Caenorhabditis elegans: one gene and its partners. The protein of the gene in region 3 purifies or fractionates together with the protein of the main gene of each other region. This does not show direct contact. Each region holds a gene or a part of one and is shown on either strand. Other genes may lie near its edges. The genes, in order: psf-2, psf-3, psf-1 and sld-5.

Region 1 (4,196 bases), on a different chromosome or scaffold from region 3:
ATTGCTGCCGAGAGGCCATCACTAGGTCGCATCAACATTACAGTATATTGTTTCTTCACTTCCACGACTTTAAAGGAGGGTGAGTTTATCCGAATTGGTCTCGGCACGCATCATTCTTTGATTTTTGAAGCGCGTGGCGGGACCATTTCGAATAAATGCGCCCTCCTTTAGAGTCGCAGAAGTGGAAAAAAAAAGGGTGCTTATGGGTTTCGTTCCCCCAAAATGATTTTAAATTATTTAACACTACCTTTTTAATTTTAATCCACACGTGAATGTTTATTTTAATACTGTTTTCATTTTTTGGCTTAGAAAATCATTTCCCTAAGCCTGAGAATGAAAAAAAGTTCACGTCTCAATTAGAAAATATGGAAATCATTTTGGGGGGAACGAAACTCATAAGTACCAAAAAATGCACTGTACACACGTTTTATAAAAGACAACATCCAAGATCAATGCTTATTCAAAGTGTTTTTTTTTCTAAACAATTTAATTTTATTCCAGCTTTTGAAAAATCTGCTCCCCGGCCTTCATATGTCCCGATTATGCTGAACTCCTCGATGCGGAAGAAAAAACCGCTGAAGGTTGCTTCAACAACCCACGTGGATTCTCCAGAGGAAGTAGCTCAAGCGTTTAGAAGTCGAATTAAGGCGCCAACTGCGTTCACCGATAAAAAAAGGTTCGCCACGCCATCGCTTTTCAAAATTTAATTCCAAGTTTCTTCAGTCCTCGTGAGCGAAAAGGATATGCAGTTTTTCCATCTGATGGAACGTTCAACAAGTCATTGCCACGTCGAGGAAAACGCCAACCGCATGCACCACTGACAAACTAGTAGAAATAATCTATCAACACCATTTCCCTTGAGATCTCCAAATTTTCTGTGTTATTCATTTCGAGAATTTGTCAGGATTTGTCTTAAATTCGGGTACTTTTTTTCTGTTTGAGACAGCAATGAAATTGTAATTGTTTTAATTGTGAAAAATAAGTGTATATATAGGAATAAAACACTATAAAGGTGTTGATTCGTGTTTATTACGGACGACAGCTCCCATCTGACGACAGGCCTCCAAAGTGGCACGAGCGGACGATGCTTCAATCAGCTGAACGTTGTCCAATTGAGCGTGGCAGGTTTGGTTCTGGAATTGTTAAGAATTGGATTAGAAATATTTTCAATAATTTTTGCCAACCTGTCTCAAGAATTCGATCGCTGAGCTTCGAAGTTTTGCGTCCCTCCGATCATAAATGTCCTGAACCAATGATTTGACAGCTTCAACTTCGAATATATCCTCACGGGCATCTCGAACAAGCATATGCGAGATTTCAAAGAAATGATCCGGTAATTTCGCCAATCCTTGGCTTTCAGTCTCTGACGTCAATATCTTCTTCAGCTCATCTACATCCATCCATTGAGGAGCCACCACCTTGCAATTGTGTTTTCGTTTCATCAAAATCGCTGTCCAAACTGGAATCCGACAGGGTACGCCTGCCTCAAATGGACCAATATCGCCGGAAATCAGGTGAATCGGCCGGTCATCGGAAATTGAGGGGATCACTTCAATAAGCGAGTTTCCGGCGATGAACTCGCAACGTTCTGCATTCATTTTTTGATCTGAAAATAATAGTTTTTCAATTGAAAATATAAATTAAGAAAAGAAAATATAAATTGAGAAGAATAACTTATTTTAAAAATTTCTAAAACCCCTCCGATATTGAGGCCTTACACTTCTGATGGGAAAGTATTCCATAGAACTCAGATTTGTGAAATAAAATCTTAAAAATACACAAAAAAAAACGCTATAAAAATGGATACTTGAAAAATTTTGAATTTTTTCAATTAGAAAACGTTAATAGTTACAAATTTCGGCAGATAAAATCAAACATTCTATAAAATATTAGTAAGACCACGCCCGATATTCTCGCGTTCTTAGTTCACAAAACTATCAGCAAACGCGCTACAATTGCACGTGCGAGAGAGTGGAGAGCGCCAGAGAAGTGTTTGAGCAAATCGAGCGTTCATGTCTCGAAAAGGCTCGCGATTTATTGATTTTCTCTCGGCAAACTGATTTATTTTTTTCAAAAAACATTTAAATATTCTTCTTACAAATATTTCAAAAATATTACCACACAAAAATTCTAACTTTCCATCCATTTTTCTCTTTTTCTCGCTACCTTCTACGAAAATTGCTGAGTACTCCAAAATTTAAGATGTTCGGACGAATTGTTTCTCGTTTAACTGCACGGTTATTTCTAAAAAACGTATGGGAAGAGCATGGAGAACGGGCAGAACCGAAGGATGCACTCCGCGCCGTATTGCTCATCGTTCTGTTCGCGCTCACGTTTGCAGCCGGAATGGTGAGCCAAAACTTTTTTTTGTCATGTTCGCATGTGATGTGATCACATTTCATTTTGAAAATTTCGTCAACTTTCAGATAGCCACGTTTCTAAAAGGAGAATGGGCGCGGAGCCATATTCTCTCGTTCATCTCGTGCATCGGTGGTGGAGTTTTTCTAGGCGCCTGCCTTCTTGATTTGCTTCCAGGTGAGAAGTGGAAAATTTTGCAAAAAAAAAAAAACATCAGAGAAATGCTATTTTAGTCCAAATTTTGAAGAATATTCGCCAAAAATCCCATTTTGGCAATACACTCGCTAAAATGTAGTAGAAAACCTGAAACATTTTGCAGACTCAATAGAATCCTTCGAGAAGACCAAGATTGCAACGGAGTTCCCAGTTCCGTTGGCATTTGTAGCAGTCGGATTTCTATTGGTTCTCACAATTGATCAGGTTGTCAAAGCGGCGAAAGACCGAAATGTATTCGGACATGTTGGATACCATATTCATAGTCATAATCATGAGCATCAAAGATCTGAAGATGGTGAATCACAAGAAGAAGGAGACGAAGCTGCCGCCCAATCGAGTATTGGAGTTGCCATGCTAGTATTGGCACTCTCTGTTCATGCTCTGTTCGAGGGACTCTCGTTAGCTGTCACGTCAGATGCTTCTCAGTTGCTTCAGGTTCTGCCGGCTACCTTAAAACTACTATTTTCTTCATTTTTAAAATTAAAATTAGAATTTAAAACAAAAAATGTTTTTTTTTTTTAATTTATTTTGCAGATCTTCGGAGCGCTAATACTTCACAAATGCATAATGGGCTTCTGCCTTGGAGTTCGTCTAGTTCAAGCAAATCTAACAACTCCATGGATTGCACTTGCACAATTCCTTTTTAGTGTTCAAGTATTGATTGGTGGTCTAGCTGGAATTGGAATCATGAAATTTATCAGTGGAGGAGAACAATCATTTGCTGCAATTGTCTCATCAATTCTACAAGCAATTGCCTGTGGAACATTCTTGTATATTACTACTTTTGAAGTGATTCCACATGAATTGCATAATGGAAAATATCGAATTCTCAAGATGTTCTTCATTTATATGGGATTTGCAATCGTTGTCGCTTTTATCTTGATTTTCCCCGAAGCTTCTTAGGACATTTGTATTTCTTTTTCTCCAGGAATTCGATTAATTTTTGACATTTTGTAGCATTTTCTCTGCTTTAGTTTTTTTTTCCTAATTCTGTGCAATTTTACTCGATTTTTGTGTACATTCTGTGTCCCATCTTTTCGCTATCACACATTTTCTTGTACTTTCTCATCCCGGGTTCCAGCTCGCCATAGACCTGTGTATTTCATTCATTTTCCCAATTCCATTACTTAATATTTGACATTCCCGACGGCTTTAAAGCTCCCATTTGTTGTACCAAACCCACAATCCTAAGACTCACAGAGCTCATGTTTTTCTAATTTCAAAAATTGAATAACTATTATCTTTAACTTTTAGCCGTTTTTTCCAAATTTTATTTTAAGCACTAGACGCTCTCGTTGTTGTGATGCCTTTTTCTTTTAAAATTTTCTCAAAGTAACTGATATTTCAGACAGATGCAGCCGGACGCACTATGATAGTCCTTCTCTCCCTTCTGACAGTTTTTCTCATTTTTCTGAGGTAAATTTCTAGGCTACAAGTTTTTGGGTTTTGAACTTTAAAAAAAACGTACATTTCAGATTTTTTTTTTGTGTTTTCAAAAGAAAACTATGAAAAAAAGTTCATTTCTCTTGAAAAGTAAAAGGAAAAAAGAAATCTGTAAATTTTTTTGAGAATCTAAAAAAAAGAAATTTATGGCTGCAACATTAGTTTAAAATAACAAACTT
Region 2 (4,426 bases), on a different chromosome or scaffold from region 3:
TGACTTCCTTCTGGCGAGTTTCGGTGCTTCCGGTCATTGTTTAATGTGGTAACCCTGAAAAAAACGTTTATGAAAGTTTACAAATTTGAGAGAAACAGGAGTTTCAAAGAGAATATTACAAAAAAAAGATGAAAAACTTGTAAATTCAAAATATCCACACATTTTTCTTGGTAGGAAAGCTTTAATCGAGGAAATTCAAGCTAACTTTTGCACAATCTTAGAATATACCCATTACTACTTATTCTAGATTGGATTTTCATGTTTTTGAGGAAAATCTGAGCCAAAATTAAGCCAAAAAAGCAAAAAAATAGTTGAAAAATCGCGCAAAATTGGTGAAACTTCTCGAGAAAAAAAGGGGTGTTTCTCTTTTTGCTATATGACCTGCACATCTAACTTCGACCCGCGACGTTCAAACTGTGCGATGGAGCGTGCTTGCACAAAATTTTTTGCTGGCAAAGTTTTTGCAGCAGCCTTTTCAACAAAATTCCTTGCAAAAAAGTCATGAAACCAGGTTTATTACACCAATAAAACACAAAAATGAGTGTGAAAAAATAGAAAATAAAATATTATTACAGAATGGTGGGTTTGAATTATATTTACAGACGAATTAAAAAAAATAAAATTAGATTCAAGCATAAGAAATTTGAAGTTTATAACGAAAGTCTCTTACGCTTCTTGCTCGAGCACTTATTGTCTTGTCTCAGCCAAGTATCAATGTCTTCTTTGCACCGTTTACCCTCCAGGAACACTTTTGTCTCGAGGCTGTCAAATTTCTCGCCTTTGCTTTGCAGATGGGTTGCAGTTGACACAATTTCTGCAACAAAAAAAAACCAGAAATTGTATTTTATAAGTGCTTTATTATATTAATTAATACCTCCTAATCGCTGTGTAAGTGTGGAGACAAGGCATCGTGCGAGGCTCAGCGCGCCGTCCGGATTTTCGCCCTTCATCAGACGGCATAACTGCATCCCGTTGCCGTAAAAGTGTTGCTGCAAGCCGGAGAGATTCAATTTCTTGCTGTCAGCGTTCAGCACATTTTGCATGTTCACACTATAAGCTTTTGGCAGTTGAATCTGGAATTCTCAATTAAAATTCGGGGCAAATCTAACTAAATTCTCACGGAAAATGAACTTCTAACGGATTCCAGCAGCCAGTATGGAGCATCAACGCCGTATCCGTCTGCATTTTGAGTTGGCTTCGAAACTCCCAGCATTTCCTGGAAGAAATCTGAACAAAAATCACTAGAATTTTTAGGTTTTCGATGCGATTTCAGACCTGGATTCAAATCTCCAATCTCAAATGTGCAAGACGTGGAGTCTGACTTGGCGATTATGTCGTCCAAGTCGAAGAATTTGGACTCGACTCTTTGAATTTCAAATCCAGCCATTACCTGGAAACAATTGGAACGATTTTTTATTAGGAAACTACGAAAAAACGAAAAAAAAATCAGAAAAACTGCGAGAAAAGTGAAAAATGCCATTTCTCTTTAAATTCCCGCCGAGGTACGCAAACACCACGACGTAACTTTGCACAGTTTTGTAGAAAAATAAAAATGTGTGTCTACTTTTGAGGAAGATCCATCGAAAGCAAAGATATTCATATATTTCAGAGAAAAATTATTAAAATAAGCTTTAAAATAAAAAAATTTGTAAAATTCTGCTAAAAATTCTGCTGAAATTGGTCGAAAATCGCCAAAAAAGTCTGGAAATCAAGTTTTTGAGAATTTAATTTCACTTTTTGGCAGCTTTCTTCTATTTTCCATTCGAATTCATTAAATATTCAAAATGAGTGTTGTCAAATTTTAACAACTGATAATCTGGATGAAATATCTCGGCACGACAAATTTTTTGTTTACTGTGAAAATGTGTGCGCCTTTAAAGTGTACTGTAATTTCAATATCTAGTTTCTGGGGACTTTTTTATCAGTTTTCCAGTTTTTCTGTAAAAAAGTATATTCATTATCAGAAAACTGAATAAAGACAATTAAAACACACACCTGAATTCGCGAGTAAAGCTGCACGGAGTTCTGGCCTTCCTCATTGAATTTTTCGCGCTCTATTGATAATCGCCTGCCGGACCACGCGTGAGAAAGTCGTGTACTCCACACGGACAAATACATTTAGTTTTACAACTAAAATCGAACCGCAACGCGCCGTAAATCTACCCCAGATATGACAGAGCCAAAATGGCCTAGTTCAGCAAAAACTCTTCCATTTCAATTTATGAGGGAATCCAGAAATCCGTGAAGCTATGAAAAATCGCTATGAAATAACCTGCGATTACTGCAATAGTATTACCGGTACAGAGAGTGTAGATAGTTAGAGAGCGACAGACATCCGGGACCCGATGGGGCGGGGCGCGCGGAAGAGACGATTTGTGTCGATTTACGAAATTTTCCTCGTTGTCATCATTTCGTAAATCGACACAAATCGTCTCTTCCGCGCGCCCCGCCCCATTGGGTCCCGGATGTCTGTCACTCTCTAACTATCCACACTCTCTGTACCGGTAATAGTCATTTCGCTGTGGGACCCAACGAGAAATTGATTGATTTATTCGCTTCAAACTCCACAATTAATCGTGTAATAAGGGATACCGTTTGACATACAATGAGTTCGTTTTCAAGGGGGCTTGTGTTTTGAAAAAAAAGGGTTGTATAATACTGTCATAGATTATCAAATAACATGGATTCAGATGGGACAAGTATTGCATTCTGGCCATAATGTTGCACATTCAGTAACTAGGACTTGGTCCTTAAGTGGGGGGGGGGGGGGTGTTACGTGGGGGGACGGTGTGTGGATGGGTTTGTTGAACCCTGTTAGGTACTATGAGGAACTGATGTATGTCGGGCGGTTCAGATGAATATCACTGAGAAATGTGGTAGTGTTGAAAAGGGGGGACGAGATTGGAAAATGGAAAATTATTAAGACGAGCGGCGAATTATTATTAACAACCTGAGCCAGCTTATTACGGGAGAAGAGAACGGGGATGATGGTCTAGTTGATGGTACGAAGACCACCTCTGGCACAGTACATGATGACGTTCCAGTTGGACAGGCAGACGAGATCCTCCTTCTCCATAGAGCTTACACGGTCTCCCGACGGGGAGATGTTGCACATACGTAGGCAACGATCGCCGACGCCGAGTTCCGCGTTTGACATGCCGAGGTTGGAGCAGCACGCGCGGTTGTCGCGGTTTTGGTTGGCACAGTAGAGCAGTTTGGAGAAGTACTGAAAGAATGAATTTTGGAAAAACTCAAAAAAAAAACTCAATAGGAAGATTGAACTATTCTTACCTTCATATCGCAGTGCTCTTGCTGGATCGCCTGGATCAGAGTTTCAGCGGCGACATGCTCACGATGCTCGTAGGTGCAGAGGCTGTGACAGTTGGATGGAACCTGTTGGCGACAGCAGGAGAGGAAGACGTCGTCGGCCGACTTGCGGGACAAGCATGGTGAGAATGGTGGCTGAGACTTCTCGGTTCCGCACTCGGAGGAGAGATCGGCGTCGGTGACCTCGGTGATCGGGTACTCCTGGCTGAGAAGCTTGGCATCACCGACTCGTGGTGCTCTTCTGATATCCTTGGAGTCGATGAACTGCTCCTTGGCTTCATGGTCTACTTCAACTGCTCCGACAACTCTGTTGCTAGTTGCCTTAGCTGGCTTCACCTGCTTCTTTGGAGCTCTCGTCGATGGCTCTTCATCGATCGTCTCGTATTTTTCCAATTTGTGGGGGCATTTCTCAGTGACATAATCGATACAACCAGACATACATTTATCTAAGACACGTTGGGTACAGCACAAGACTTTTGGTATTTGCTCGCAATCGGGCAACTTCGGTTCACTATATACACTGGGAATAATTATTGAGATTAGAATAAGAATACCGGCTGCCGATCGCATTCTGAAATGTTAATGGATCTTGAAAAGAAGAAAATGTACACAAAAAAAACTCACATATTAACTTATTTACTGGAAAAAAGTCCGCCTGACGAATTGTTCGATGAAAAGCAGCCTGCTGATGAGGACGACGAGCTGTTGTTGCCGAATGCGAATCGGTCCTGGAATGAAGCGAAACTGTTCGAGAGTCTTGGATTAAAGGGGGCGGATGATCCGGGGGGAAAGTGGGGCGGATAGCCAAGAGACAATGAGACAATGGAAGTCCCGCTAGGTGATAAACTTGATATATCGGCTTTCACTTTTCGTAAGTGTGCGCGCCAGCGCTTCAGGATTCTCTGATTTACAGGAAGATGAAAGTGATTTGAAAGATTGTTCATTTTTGGCATTTAAGCATTTAACACTTGGTCCAGCTTAGGCTTTTTTCGTTTTGATTGAGACGGATATTCCGACATGGTGTGCAAAGCACAAGAACCTGATTCTTGTTTTCGTTGCCTATGATTTAATTCGGATAAAAGTACTCTTCATCACGCGG
Region 3 (4,158 bases):
ATTGATGTTTCCCCCGATTTTCAACTGTTCTTGAATTCTGAAGTTGTTCCTTCTTCAAATGAGTATTTAAAACAATGTGTTGTAGAGTGATTATTTTCAGAACAAAATGATATCTGAAGTTCATAGAAATTTTATATTTCAGATTAATTCAGATTAATTGAGATTTCTGGTGTTTTTTGAAGAAAAAAAAACTCGAACGCCTAGAGCTCATCGACCAAAAAGTGTTTATCAGCGTTTTTCTATGCGTTCTCTCAGAATTGCATACTATTTCCATAAGACACTACACTCTAACTTGTTTACCATTTTTCACATACACAACTTTTCCCAACAGAAATTCTTTTTATTCTTTTATTTTTAGACGATTTTTTACTGAGTTTCCACGAAAAAAAAGTTGTATCATAATTACTTCAAAACTTAACACTTCACTTTAAAGACGCATACAGTATTCTGAATAGGTCTCGCGACGAACTCACTAGTCAGCCAAATGTTAAGTTCAATTTCTTTTCATTTGAGAAAAAACTAAACACTGAAAAAAGGCCGTAATAGCGAATTTCACTAAATTACGAGTTTCTGAGCATTTCATTTTGCTGTGACGATTCAAAAATAATGTCTCTAATGTGCATTTTCAAAGTGGTCACCATTTTTTCGAATAACTCCAAGTTTCCAAAGCTTCTTCTTTCAGAAAATGGCATTTCTCGGTTATGGAGCTGCCGCTGCTCTCGGCGGAGCTCTCGTTTACGCGAATCTTCCCACTTATTTGACAATCGGAGCTGTTGCTCCAACCTTTGCTCATTTGGCGGCCGCAAAACTTGTCCCAATTCGTGGTGGACCGAAGGAAAAAGAAGTTGTGGAGAGAAATGAGCAGTTTACGGTAAACATTTTCACTCTAAAATTAAAATTATTTGAGAAGTTTCAGGCCGACTCGTTGTTCAAGAAAGGTCCGATCATGGTGATGGCTGTACGTCGTCCGGGATGTATGCTGTGCCGTCGTGAAGCTGCTGAATTGCACACACTGCTCCCGTTGCTCAAGGAAAAAGGAATCGAACTGGTAAGCGCTCCTTCAAAATAGAAAAATTAAAACTTTGCTTTCAGGCCGCCGTTGTGCACGAGACTCGTGGAGCAAATGAGTTCAAGTCTTGGTTCTCCGGCGGTGATGTCTATTTGGACACTGATCGCACTTTCTACGGTCCAAACGAACGCTGGCTGCCAGTTTGGATGGGATTTCTTCGTTTCGGAACTTACTCGAATGTTTACAAAGCAAAGAAAGCCAAGGTCGAGGGAAACATGGAAGGAGAGGGAAGACTTTTGGGAGGTACGAAAAATTATTAAAATTATTTTTTCATAATAATTGTTCAGGTGTTTATTTGATTGCTAACAACGACATCGTGTTCACTCATTTGGAGAAGGAGTGGGGAGATGCTGCCGATATCAAGGAAGTTCGTGCTGCCGTCGAGAAATTCTCGGAGAAGTCGAAATAATTTTTTAACTTATGTGTTTTCTTAATTAATTAAACGAGGCTACTTTTTTTGTAAAATAAACTGACAAGAAGCTATTTATACAGATCACAGGTTGAAAACAAAATACCGACAACAAGTCAATGAACAAGCTCGAGAACACCCTGACGTATCAGCATTTCGCAGTCTTGGCGTGGAAGGGAGTGCTGAAAAATGTTATACATTATTTAAAAAATTAAAAACGGGATTTCTCTTTTTTCAAATAAAGAAAAATTCGAAGACTTACCAAACTATCCTTGGACAGCTGAACTTGAGTTCCATCTGACGTTTCAAATTCTCCATAATCCTCGAGAGCTCTAACTTGTACAAAAAGTGACTTCGGTGGTGCAGAATGAAGCAGCAGATTAACACCACCTTCTCCAAGATTGCTTTGGAATCTTGCCAATGTGCTCGAATACTCATTGAAAAACTGAATTTCCGCATCGCAGAGGGCGTTCTGAAAAATAATGGTTGACAAATTTTAATCATGTGCACCGATTACCCTAACAGACGCGGGAAGAGCACCTCCATACTTCCATCTGAATGATCGAATCCTGTTTTTCCTCTCGTTCACATAGGCCATCATGCAACGCTGGAAAATTGAACCACTACAATATTTCAAAAATCGACCTTCTCGACTTACTCGAATATGGCACATTGCAGCTAAACGAGGTTGAAGAAGCGTAGAATCATGAGGGAGTCCTGCACGGATTTTTTCACTGAAAAATATGATTTTAAATCAAGAAGTCACGAACGAATCGGTACGCTTCCGAAATGTATCACTTACACGACGGCAGCATTCTTTTGAAACAACTCATCGATTTTCTGATAACATTGGCGTACAAGTTCTGTCTGAAAAGAACTCAAATTTAAAGCAGAAAATAGGATATAATTTTACGTTATAAGGCGGTAATACATCTGGATTTCTTTTCATCTCTAAAACAAGTTGTAGTGCTTTGTCGGCGACGCCTCCTCGATTCTGATCGCCGGAACTCATTTTTTGAACTGCAAAAATTAAAAGTTGATTTGAAAAATAAAATTTTAAAGGGAAATACTTGATTTTAAATATTAAATTCGAAAATAAAAAACATTAAATTTAAAGTCCTCGACTTTCCCACCATTTCGGCTCTTGTGAACTAGTTGTAGACTCGGCCACGGCCATGGGTCTCGCAGCGATTAGCCGAAATGTATCGCCGCCCGTTGAAAACTGCACACATTTTTCTTAAGCATTTTTTAAAAGTGGAATATTGACGATTTTTCATTATTTACTCAATTAATTTCTTCTAAAATCAAATATATCACTAAATTCTGAGTTAAATTCGTTTTAGGCGTTACTGAAACGTAATCCCATGGTCGATAATGATCAATGTTTACAAAAATACATGTTTATATTTAAAACAATATTTAGCACATAGTTAAGGATTATTGGAGCTGGAACGTTCTTTTTTAAATGTATATTCTTCCTGATATTCATGTGTATATTTGCTAAATTGAACAAAATGCCTGTTTTGGTTGTTTTTCTAATTAATTTCTTGTTTATTGATTATTTGGCTTAATCGTTACTCGATTCTCACTATTTAATTAAATATCTGGTTTATTTTTATTTTTTTAATTCTTCGAATTTTCAGTTATGGCCTGGTTCCGTCCTCCACCACCACACACTCAACTCAGACCATGGGTTCCGGACGCGATCTTTATCCCGATCTCTCGCGCCGTTGAGCGTGTCGGAGTGTTCTTCTACAACCGGTTTGTCATTGTCTGAAAACGACGAATAAAATTCTTTTCCAAAAATAACCGATATAATTTTTAGCGTGTTGAACAAGACCGAGGTTGGATTGTTCGACAAGAGATGGAACAAGAACGTTCACGGACCATACTGCCACTGGAGATACTACGGAAAGCTTGATACCAAGTTCATGGATGTGAAGCTAGGAGATCTTCCAGCCTGGATGGCTCGTCGTGAGAAGACCCCATCTGCCTTCTACAACGAGTTCATGCGCAATATCTGGAGAGTCCACAACCTCTATTACTCAGGACCAGTCTACAATAACACTGTTCGTTTAAATTTAAAAAAAAAATACTAATTTTTTTTATTTTTAGGTCAAGGTAATCTTCCGCTTCATCTTCGCCTACTCGTTCCTCAATTGGCTCGTCAAGTCTCACCGTTACGTCGATTTCCAGAAGACGATGTACCATTGGTAGACACCATCCGATTTCGTCTACTCTTCAAAGCTCCACATACAAACTCTGTCGCTGGGGGAGGACGAAACAGCCATCCGATTTTTTCGTATTCTTTTTTCCCCCAATTCATCTCATTCTCGAGACGTCTTCTGTTAATTTAGTCCCCTATCGATTTTGTCCGTTTGTGTCTTTTTTCTATGAGAGAATAAATAGTGTATGGATCGGTTGAATAGAAATATTAAGAAGAAGGTTAGATAGCCGATGCGATTTTCTGGATTTTTTCGCTGTCGGCTTTATCTTTAGATTTGAATCTGTAGATCTAAAGTTCCGATTCTATAGAAGCGCGTCTTCATGTTTCTATTTTATTTTATATTTCTCCATGCTGTCTTATTTCCAGAGCCTCATCTCTTCACCTATGGCTACTGATCAGAAACGAGGGCTCCTGATTGTATTCGAAGGTATTTGATTTAGCTTAATTTTAAAG
Region 4 (6,158 bases), on a different chromosome or scaffold from region 3:
GCTGGTTTTTATAGGTGGAATCACGCCGATCAACATGTTCAAGGTAACAGGTAACATAAAATGATAAAATATGAAAAAAAATTGTTCTTGTTTCAGTGTTACTCTGAGCCCTGAAAGTTTAGTTCTCCAAAAAAAAAAAAATTTTTAATCTAAAAATTTAAAAAAAAATGTTTTTTTTTTTTTTTAATTCCCTCAAAACCCTTCGCAATTGTTCTAAACCAACTTAGCTATACTAATTCAAACATTAAAAAAATATTGACCCTAGCGGGGGTTCGAACCTATGACCCTCCGCACATAACCATACCTCTTCCCGCCTGAGCCACTTTGACCCAGTTTTCAAACTGCTCCAAAATTCGCGTAATTTAGTTGTTTTAGGCTCAGAATTTCACGATAATTCCAGAAATTTAACTAGTTTTGATCTACGTTCATGTTGAACAGAGTTATGAGTAAAAAACTTTAAATCGATCAATTTCTTGGCTCAAAATTCGAAAAAAAAAGTTGAAAAGTTAATATGGGTGTCAAAAAATGTCTAAATTTTCTGCAGAATTTGGAAATTTATGCTAAAATCGCTGAAAACTTCAAGAAATTGGCAAAAAACCAAAAGAAAACACATTTTATCGATTTTTTTCAAAAAATTCCCTTAAACCCTTCCTCCCCTTCGCAATTGCTCAAAACCAACTAGGCTATACTAATTCAAACATATAAAAAATATTGACCCTAGCGGGGGTTCGAACCTGTTACCCTCCGAACCATAGCCTTCTCTCTTCCCGCCTGAGCCACTTGACCAAGTTTTCAAACTGCTCCAAAATTCGCGTAATTTAGGTGTTTTAAGCCTGAAATTTTACGAAAGTTCCAAAAATTTCACCAGTTTTGCGCTATGGTCATGCTGAACAATGTTATGAGCAGAAAAACTTTAAATTATTCACTTTTTGGCTCAAAAATCGAAAATTTATATCAAACCAAATTTTTTTGTCTATTTTCAGGAAAAAACATGGAGTAAGCTTCGTTTTTATGTTTAAAAAAGCTAAAATAAATGAAAATTTAAGAGAAAAAAACCCGATTTTTGAAGTGAAAATCCAGTTTTTTGGGGGAACATAAAAATGGAATAATGAGGTTTTTGAGCAAAATTTGATAATTTTAAAGTGAAAAATTGAGATTCAAAGAGGAGAAAACAGGCGAAAAATCACCGCAAAATTTCAGTGAAAATGCTCATTTTTTGACAGAAAATTGGCAAAAAGTGACAAATTAAAGTAGACATATGTAAAAAAAAAAAAAGGGGGTTTCAGGGGTAAAAAATGATGAAAAATTCGGGAAAATTACAAAAAAATGGATTAAATTTACGATTTTAGGGGTAAAAATGATGAAAATTCCAAAAAAATCCGAAAAAATTATCAAAAAATTCTTCTTCACATCAGTTGAATATTTCCATCTTCAACCAATTGATGTACCGATTCGAACGGAATCAAATGACACGATTCCGGTTCCATTTCCAAAATCACTTCTCCATTCAAATCCTGCCAATCCGGAATCGCAACGTTGCCCACGTCATCTGACGTCACTTTTGCGTAAACCATGACGTCATCATGATCGCCACGTGGAACTGGCATCTTTTTAAGCGCTGCTGGCATGAATTCTGAAGAAAATTGAGAGTTTTTGGGAAATTTTTTTTTTTTTGAAATTTTGAAAAAAAAAGTTTTTTTTTGGGAATTTTGAAATTTTTTTTTTTTGAAATTTTGAAAAAAAAATTGTAAAAATTGCCACGTGGCATTAAGCGAAATTTTGCAGTTTTTGAGAGAAAAAAAAACTGCAAAAAAAATCGAAATTTTCCAGATTTTCTGAGCTTTTACGCAAATTTTTCTGAATTTTTGAGGTAATTTTCTAAAATTTTAGCGAAAATTTTAAATTTAATTTTTTTTTAACTTAAAAATGAAACTTTTGAAATGCAAAAAATAAGATTTTTATTGATTTTCCACAAAAAAAACAAATTGCAAAATTTTAATTTTTCCAAGGAAATTTTTTTTTTGAAAATTCCAAAAAAAATCGATTTTTTTGAAATTAATTTTAAAATTTGAAAATTTCTTAAAATTTGTGAATTTTTATGGTCAATTTTACCAAAAAAATTGTTTTTTTTTGAAAATTCAAAAAAAAAAATTTTTTTTAGGTCAAAATAAATAAAAATTCAAAAAAAATTCAAATTTTGAGAGAAAAATTTGAAGTTTCGAAAGGAAAACTTTCAAAATTCAAAAAATCAAAAAAAAAATTTTTTGACATTTTTTTTTTCAAAATTGTAACAAAAAAATACATGAATTTTCAAAAAAATTTTCAAATTAGAAAAAAATTAGGCTTCTAGTGAAAAATTGGCCAATTTTTACGATTTTTTCAATAAAAAATCGCAATTTTCAACCAAAAATCCATCCGCCGTACCCAGGACAGTTTTCTGAAAAAGGTTCGACTCCGCTAGAGCATATTCTTCGGCGAATTTCATCTCAGATTCCGATAGTAGATCACTTTTTCCCTCTTCTTTTCGTTTTTTGTGTTGATCGATTGCGTCGTGTGGATTTGATTCGATTTTTTGGAGGCGGCATCTGCAGAAAATTGTTCGAGAAAATTAGTGAGAATCTACGAAAATTTGGGAATTTTTTGGAAATTTTCGTGAAAAAATGGGCAAAATTCGATGAAAATTGAGGATTTTAGCGTGTTTTTGAATTTCAGGCACTACAAACTACAAGTTTTGGGCGCTGCTAATGAATTTTTGGTCCATTTTTTTCATTTTTCGCCCTTTTTTTCGGCAAAAAAGCGCCAAAACGTCGAAATTTGCGCTGCTTTTCAATTTTTTTTTCCATAAAAAATCGATTTTTGTACAAATTTTTAGACAATTTTTGCAAATTTTTCTGCAGAATATAGCTTTTTTTCGATTTTTGATTAATTTTCGGCTGAATTTCCAAGTTTTTCCGATTTTTTGATACTTTCTCAGCAAAATTTCGCATTTTTCGCCGATTTTTGATTAATTTTCAGTTAAAATTCGCATTTTTCGCCGATTTTTCACTATTTTTTCGTGAAAATTCGCATTTTTCGTGAATTTTCGGCTAATTGTCACTCTAAATGTGAAGTTTTCTCGATTTTTAACTAATTTTCAGTGAAAATTTGCAATATTTCATGATTTTCTCCATTTAGACGATTTTTAATCAATTTTCAGCGAAAAAATGCATTTTTCGTGATTTTTTATCAATTTTCTGCAAAAAATCGCATTTTTCGCCGATTTTTAATCAATTTTCAGTGAATTTTTGCATTTTTCGTGGTTTTCGACCATTTTTCCGTGAGAATTCGCGTTTTTCTCCGTTTTTTTAACTAATTTTCCGTGAAAATTCCCATTTTTCTCCGTTTTTTAATTAATTTTCAGTGAAAATTTCCAGTATTTCATGATTTTCTCCATTTTGGACGGTTTTTAAACTAATTTTCAGCGAAAATTCCCATTTTTCTCCGTTTTTTCACTATTTTTCGTGAAATTTCGTATTTTTCGTGGTTTTTCGCTACTTTTCTCCATTTTCGGGGCTCATTTTCCCGCCGCACACCTAACATAATCCGACGTAATAAACCCAATGCGTTGAAGCTCGACTCGATGAACTGAGATTCTCAGCTGCATTTTATCCGTTTGTTTTCCAATATTTTCCTCCATTCCCTGAATCTGATCAAGTAGGATTTCGACAAGTTCCATTTGAGTTGGGAGAAGGCACGGAGCACACAGCTCATTTTGCCACGTGGCTGTCATTTTTCGGAGCACTTCTTCCGGTGTAGTCATCTCATCGTATTCGTCGTCGTCAAAATCCAAAAAGGTTGTTGCAGAGTCGGTGACGGCCATTTTTTTTTTTGGAAATTCTGGGGAAATATATTTTTTTAATTTAAATTTTTTTTTAGTTGAAAAAATTTTTTTTGGGAAAAATAATATTTTTAGTGCCAAAATTGAAAAAAAAAATTTTTTTGGGAAAAATGTTTTTTTTTGAAGAAATTCATCATTTTTAGGTGAAAATTAATTTTTGAAAAAATTTTTTTATTATTTTTTTGGAAAAATAATTTTTTTTTGTGCTAAAATTGAAAAATTTTGATTTTTTTCAGGAAAATTCACATTTATATATATTTTTATTTAGTTTTTATGGGAAAAATAGTTTTTTAATGGAAATTTTTAATTTATTCGAAAAATTTGATTTCTCCTTGTTTTTTGGCAAAAAAAAATATTTTTTCAAATTTTTTTGGAATTTTTTTCTCAGTTTTTCTATCAAAATTTAGTATTTTTTGGGAAATGGAAACTCTGGAAATATATTTTTTGAACTTTAAATTTTTTTTGGAAAAATAATATTTTTAGTGCTAAAATTGAAAAAATTTGGTTTTTTTTGTGGAAAATTAATTATTTTTAAAGGAAAGTGAGAAATGTTAATTTTTTTCAGTAAAAATTGAATTTTTTTTTTCAATTTTTCAGACTAATATTGATTTTTGGGTGAAAAACGTTTTATCATAAAAATCGGGGTTTTTTCCTGTAAAAAAGGAAATTTTTTCGGAGTTTTAAATTTGGAAAATTAAATTTTTTTAAATTTTTGTATTTTATGGAAAAAATATTTTTTAGTGGAAATTTTATATTTATTCAAAAAATTTGATTTTTTTTTTGCAAAAAATGATTTTTTCCAATTTTTCAGATAAATATTGATTTTTCTAAAGAAAAAAACCAATTTTTTGAAATTTTTTTCCAGTTTTTCGATTAAAATTGAATTTAATTGGAAAATAGAGTTTTTTAGTTTTATATTTGAAAAAATATATAATTTTTAGGTGGAAAATTAATTTTTTTCAGGAAAATTCACATTTATATATATATATATATTTCAAGTTTTTATGAACCAAATAAGTTTTTTTTTCGTAAAAAAAATATTTTTAGTGGAAATTTCAAACTTATTCGAAAAATTTGATTTTTCCATTTTTTTTTGCAAAAAAAAAAAACGATTTTTTCCAAATTTTCAGAAAAATCAATTTTTTGGAATTTTTTCTCAGTTTTTCTATCAAAATTGAATAAATTTCGAAAAAATAATTTTTGCTGGAAAATTCATATTTTTATATATTTTTTTCGGACCAAAAATAAACTTTTTTGAAATTTTTTTTTCACTTTTAAATTTCAAATTTTAAAATTTTATATCCAAAAATATAATTTCTTTTAGTTTTTTACAGCAAAAAAAAAATCTGAAAATCCTCAAATCCCGATTTAAAAAAAATATATAAAAATCATTGGAAAAAACCGCAAAATTTCAACAAAAAAAAATGCAAAAATTCGTCGAAAAAGTGTGCGTTTTCATCATATAAATAGAAAAAAAGAAAGAGAGAGAGTAATATGTGTTGGTGGGGTGTTAAATAGCACAAGATACGAATAAATTAAAATTAAAATCGTTAAAAAAAACCATGAAAAAAAGGAGATACCAGCAGCGTGGAGTTCGGAGGGGTGTTACATATATATATATTTCAGAGAGAGAAAAAAAGATCATTTTGGTGGTTTTTTTACGGGGGAAACAGAATGGGGGTAAATATGTATATAAGGGGGTGGTAAAACATTTTAAAAAATGCGATCGGAGGAAATAGGATTAAAATTGGGAAAATTCAGTGAAAAATTTTGTAAAAAAAATTCGAGAAAAAATGGAAAATTTTGAGGACAAAATTTCCAAAAAATGCTCAAAAATTCGCAAAAAATCTGAAAAAATAGGGAATTTTTGAAAAAATCCAGAAAATTTTAGAAAATTCGGATAAATTTTGGGAAAAAATCAGCGAATTTTCTAAAAATTTTGAGAAAAAAAATCTGAAAAATGTCCAAAATATACCAAAAAATTCGCAAAAAAATCAGAAAAATTCAGCGATTTTTCACAAAAAATTTCCAAAAAAAAAAATCCGAGAATTTTAACAAAAAAATGCGCAAAAAAAATCAGAAAAAAATCAGAAAAAATTCAAAATTTCCATAAATTATTCCTGTTTCTGTTGTGAATCTCCACCGTCTCCACCTTCATGATGTCCCCCGGGTGGTCCCATTGGACCTCCCTGCTGCTGCTGTGGTTGATATTGTCCGTGTGGTGGTGGTGGCATTTGACCATATGGCTGCTGGTATGGGTGTCCTGAAAATACTTTTTTTG

What was found.
Region 1: the proteins of psf-1 (region 3) and psf-2 purify together in Caenorhabditis elegans (affinity purification with mass spectrometry; 2 studies listed by BioGRID, with this or other methods). This does not show direct contact.
Region 2: the proteins of psf-1 (region 3) and psf-3 purify together in Caenorhabditis elegans (affinity purification with western blotting; 2 studies listed by BioGRID, with this or other methods). This does not show direct contact.
Region 4: the proteins of psf-1 (region 3) and sld-5 purify together in Caenorhabditis elegans (affinity purification with mass spectrometry; 2 studies listed by BioGRID, with this or other methods). This does not show direct contact.

The regions. Positions count from the first base shown.
Region 1 is NC_003279.8:15,050,427-15,054,622, reverse strand, and holds psf-2 (putative DNA replication complex GINS protein PSF2), read right to left. Parts: upstream 1,614-4,196; 5' UTR 1,599-1,613; coding exon 1,185-1,598; intron 1,134-1,184; coding exon 1,005-1,133; 3' UTR 951-1,004; downstream 1-950. Other genes in the region: zipt-1 (Zrt (ZRT), Irt- (IRT-) like Protein Transporter), read left to right, coding at 2,203-2,349, 2,427-2,535, 2,678-3,009, 3,109-3,477; bltp-2 (FMP27/BLTP2/Hobbit GFWDK motif-containing RBG unit domain-containing protein), read left to right, coding at 3,944-3,990. UniProt on the Caenorhabditis elegans protein: Required for correct functioning of the GINS complex, a complex that plays an essential role in the initiation of DNA replication, and progression of DNA replication forks.
Region 2 is NC_003279.8:531,419-535,844, reverse strand, and holds psf-3 (DNA replication complex GINS protein PSF3), read right to left. Parts: upstream 1,391-4,426; 5' UTR 1,388-1,390; coding exon 1,276-1,387; intron 1,228-1,275; coding exon 1,121-1,227; intron 1,074-1,120; coding exon 875-1,073; intron 815-874; coding exon 651-814; 3' UTR 501-650; downstream 1-500. Other genes in the region: icd-2 (Nascent polypeptide-associated complex subunit alpha), read right to left, coding at 1-37; dbd-1 (DB domain-containing protein), read right to left, coding at 2,993-3,226, 3,292-3,897; Y65B4BL.1 (uncharacterized protein), read right to left, coding at 3,960-4,055.
Region 3 is NC_003280.10:9,967,013-9,971,170, reverse strand, and holds psf-1 (putative DNA replication complex GINS protein PSF1), read right to left. Parts: upstream 2,499-4,158; 5' UTR 2,491-2,498; coding exon 2,392-2,490; intron 2,346-2,391; coding exon 2,281-2,345; intron 2,213-2,280; coding exon 2,137-2,212; intron 2,086-2,136; coding exon 1,996-2,085; intron 1,951-1,995; coding exon 1,741-1,950; intron 1,661-1,740; coding exon 1,595-1,660; 3' UTR 1,541-1,594; downstream 1-1,540. Other genes in the region: R53.5 (Peroxiredoxin-like 2A), read left to right, coding at 686-871, 917-1,048, 1,093-1,312, 1,357-1,478; R53.4 (Putative ATP synthase subunit f, mitochondrial), read left to right, coding at 3,124-3,239, 3,304-3,547, 3,594-3,695; dtmk-1 (Thymidylate kinase), read left to right, coding at 4,090-4,132.
Region 4 is NC_003283.11:20,233,868-20,240,025, forward strand, and holds sld-5 (DNA replication complex GINS protein SLD5), read right to left. Parts: upstream 3,879-6,158; 5' UTR 3,860-3,878; coding exon 3,573-3,859; intron 2,586-3,572; coding exon 2,425-2,585; intron 1,634-2,424; coding exon 1,407-1,633; 3' UTR 938-1,406; downstream 1-937. Other genes in the region: swsn-1 (SWI/SNF complex subunit SMARCC2), read right to left, coding at 5,992-6,149.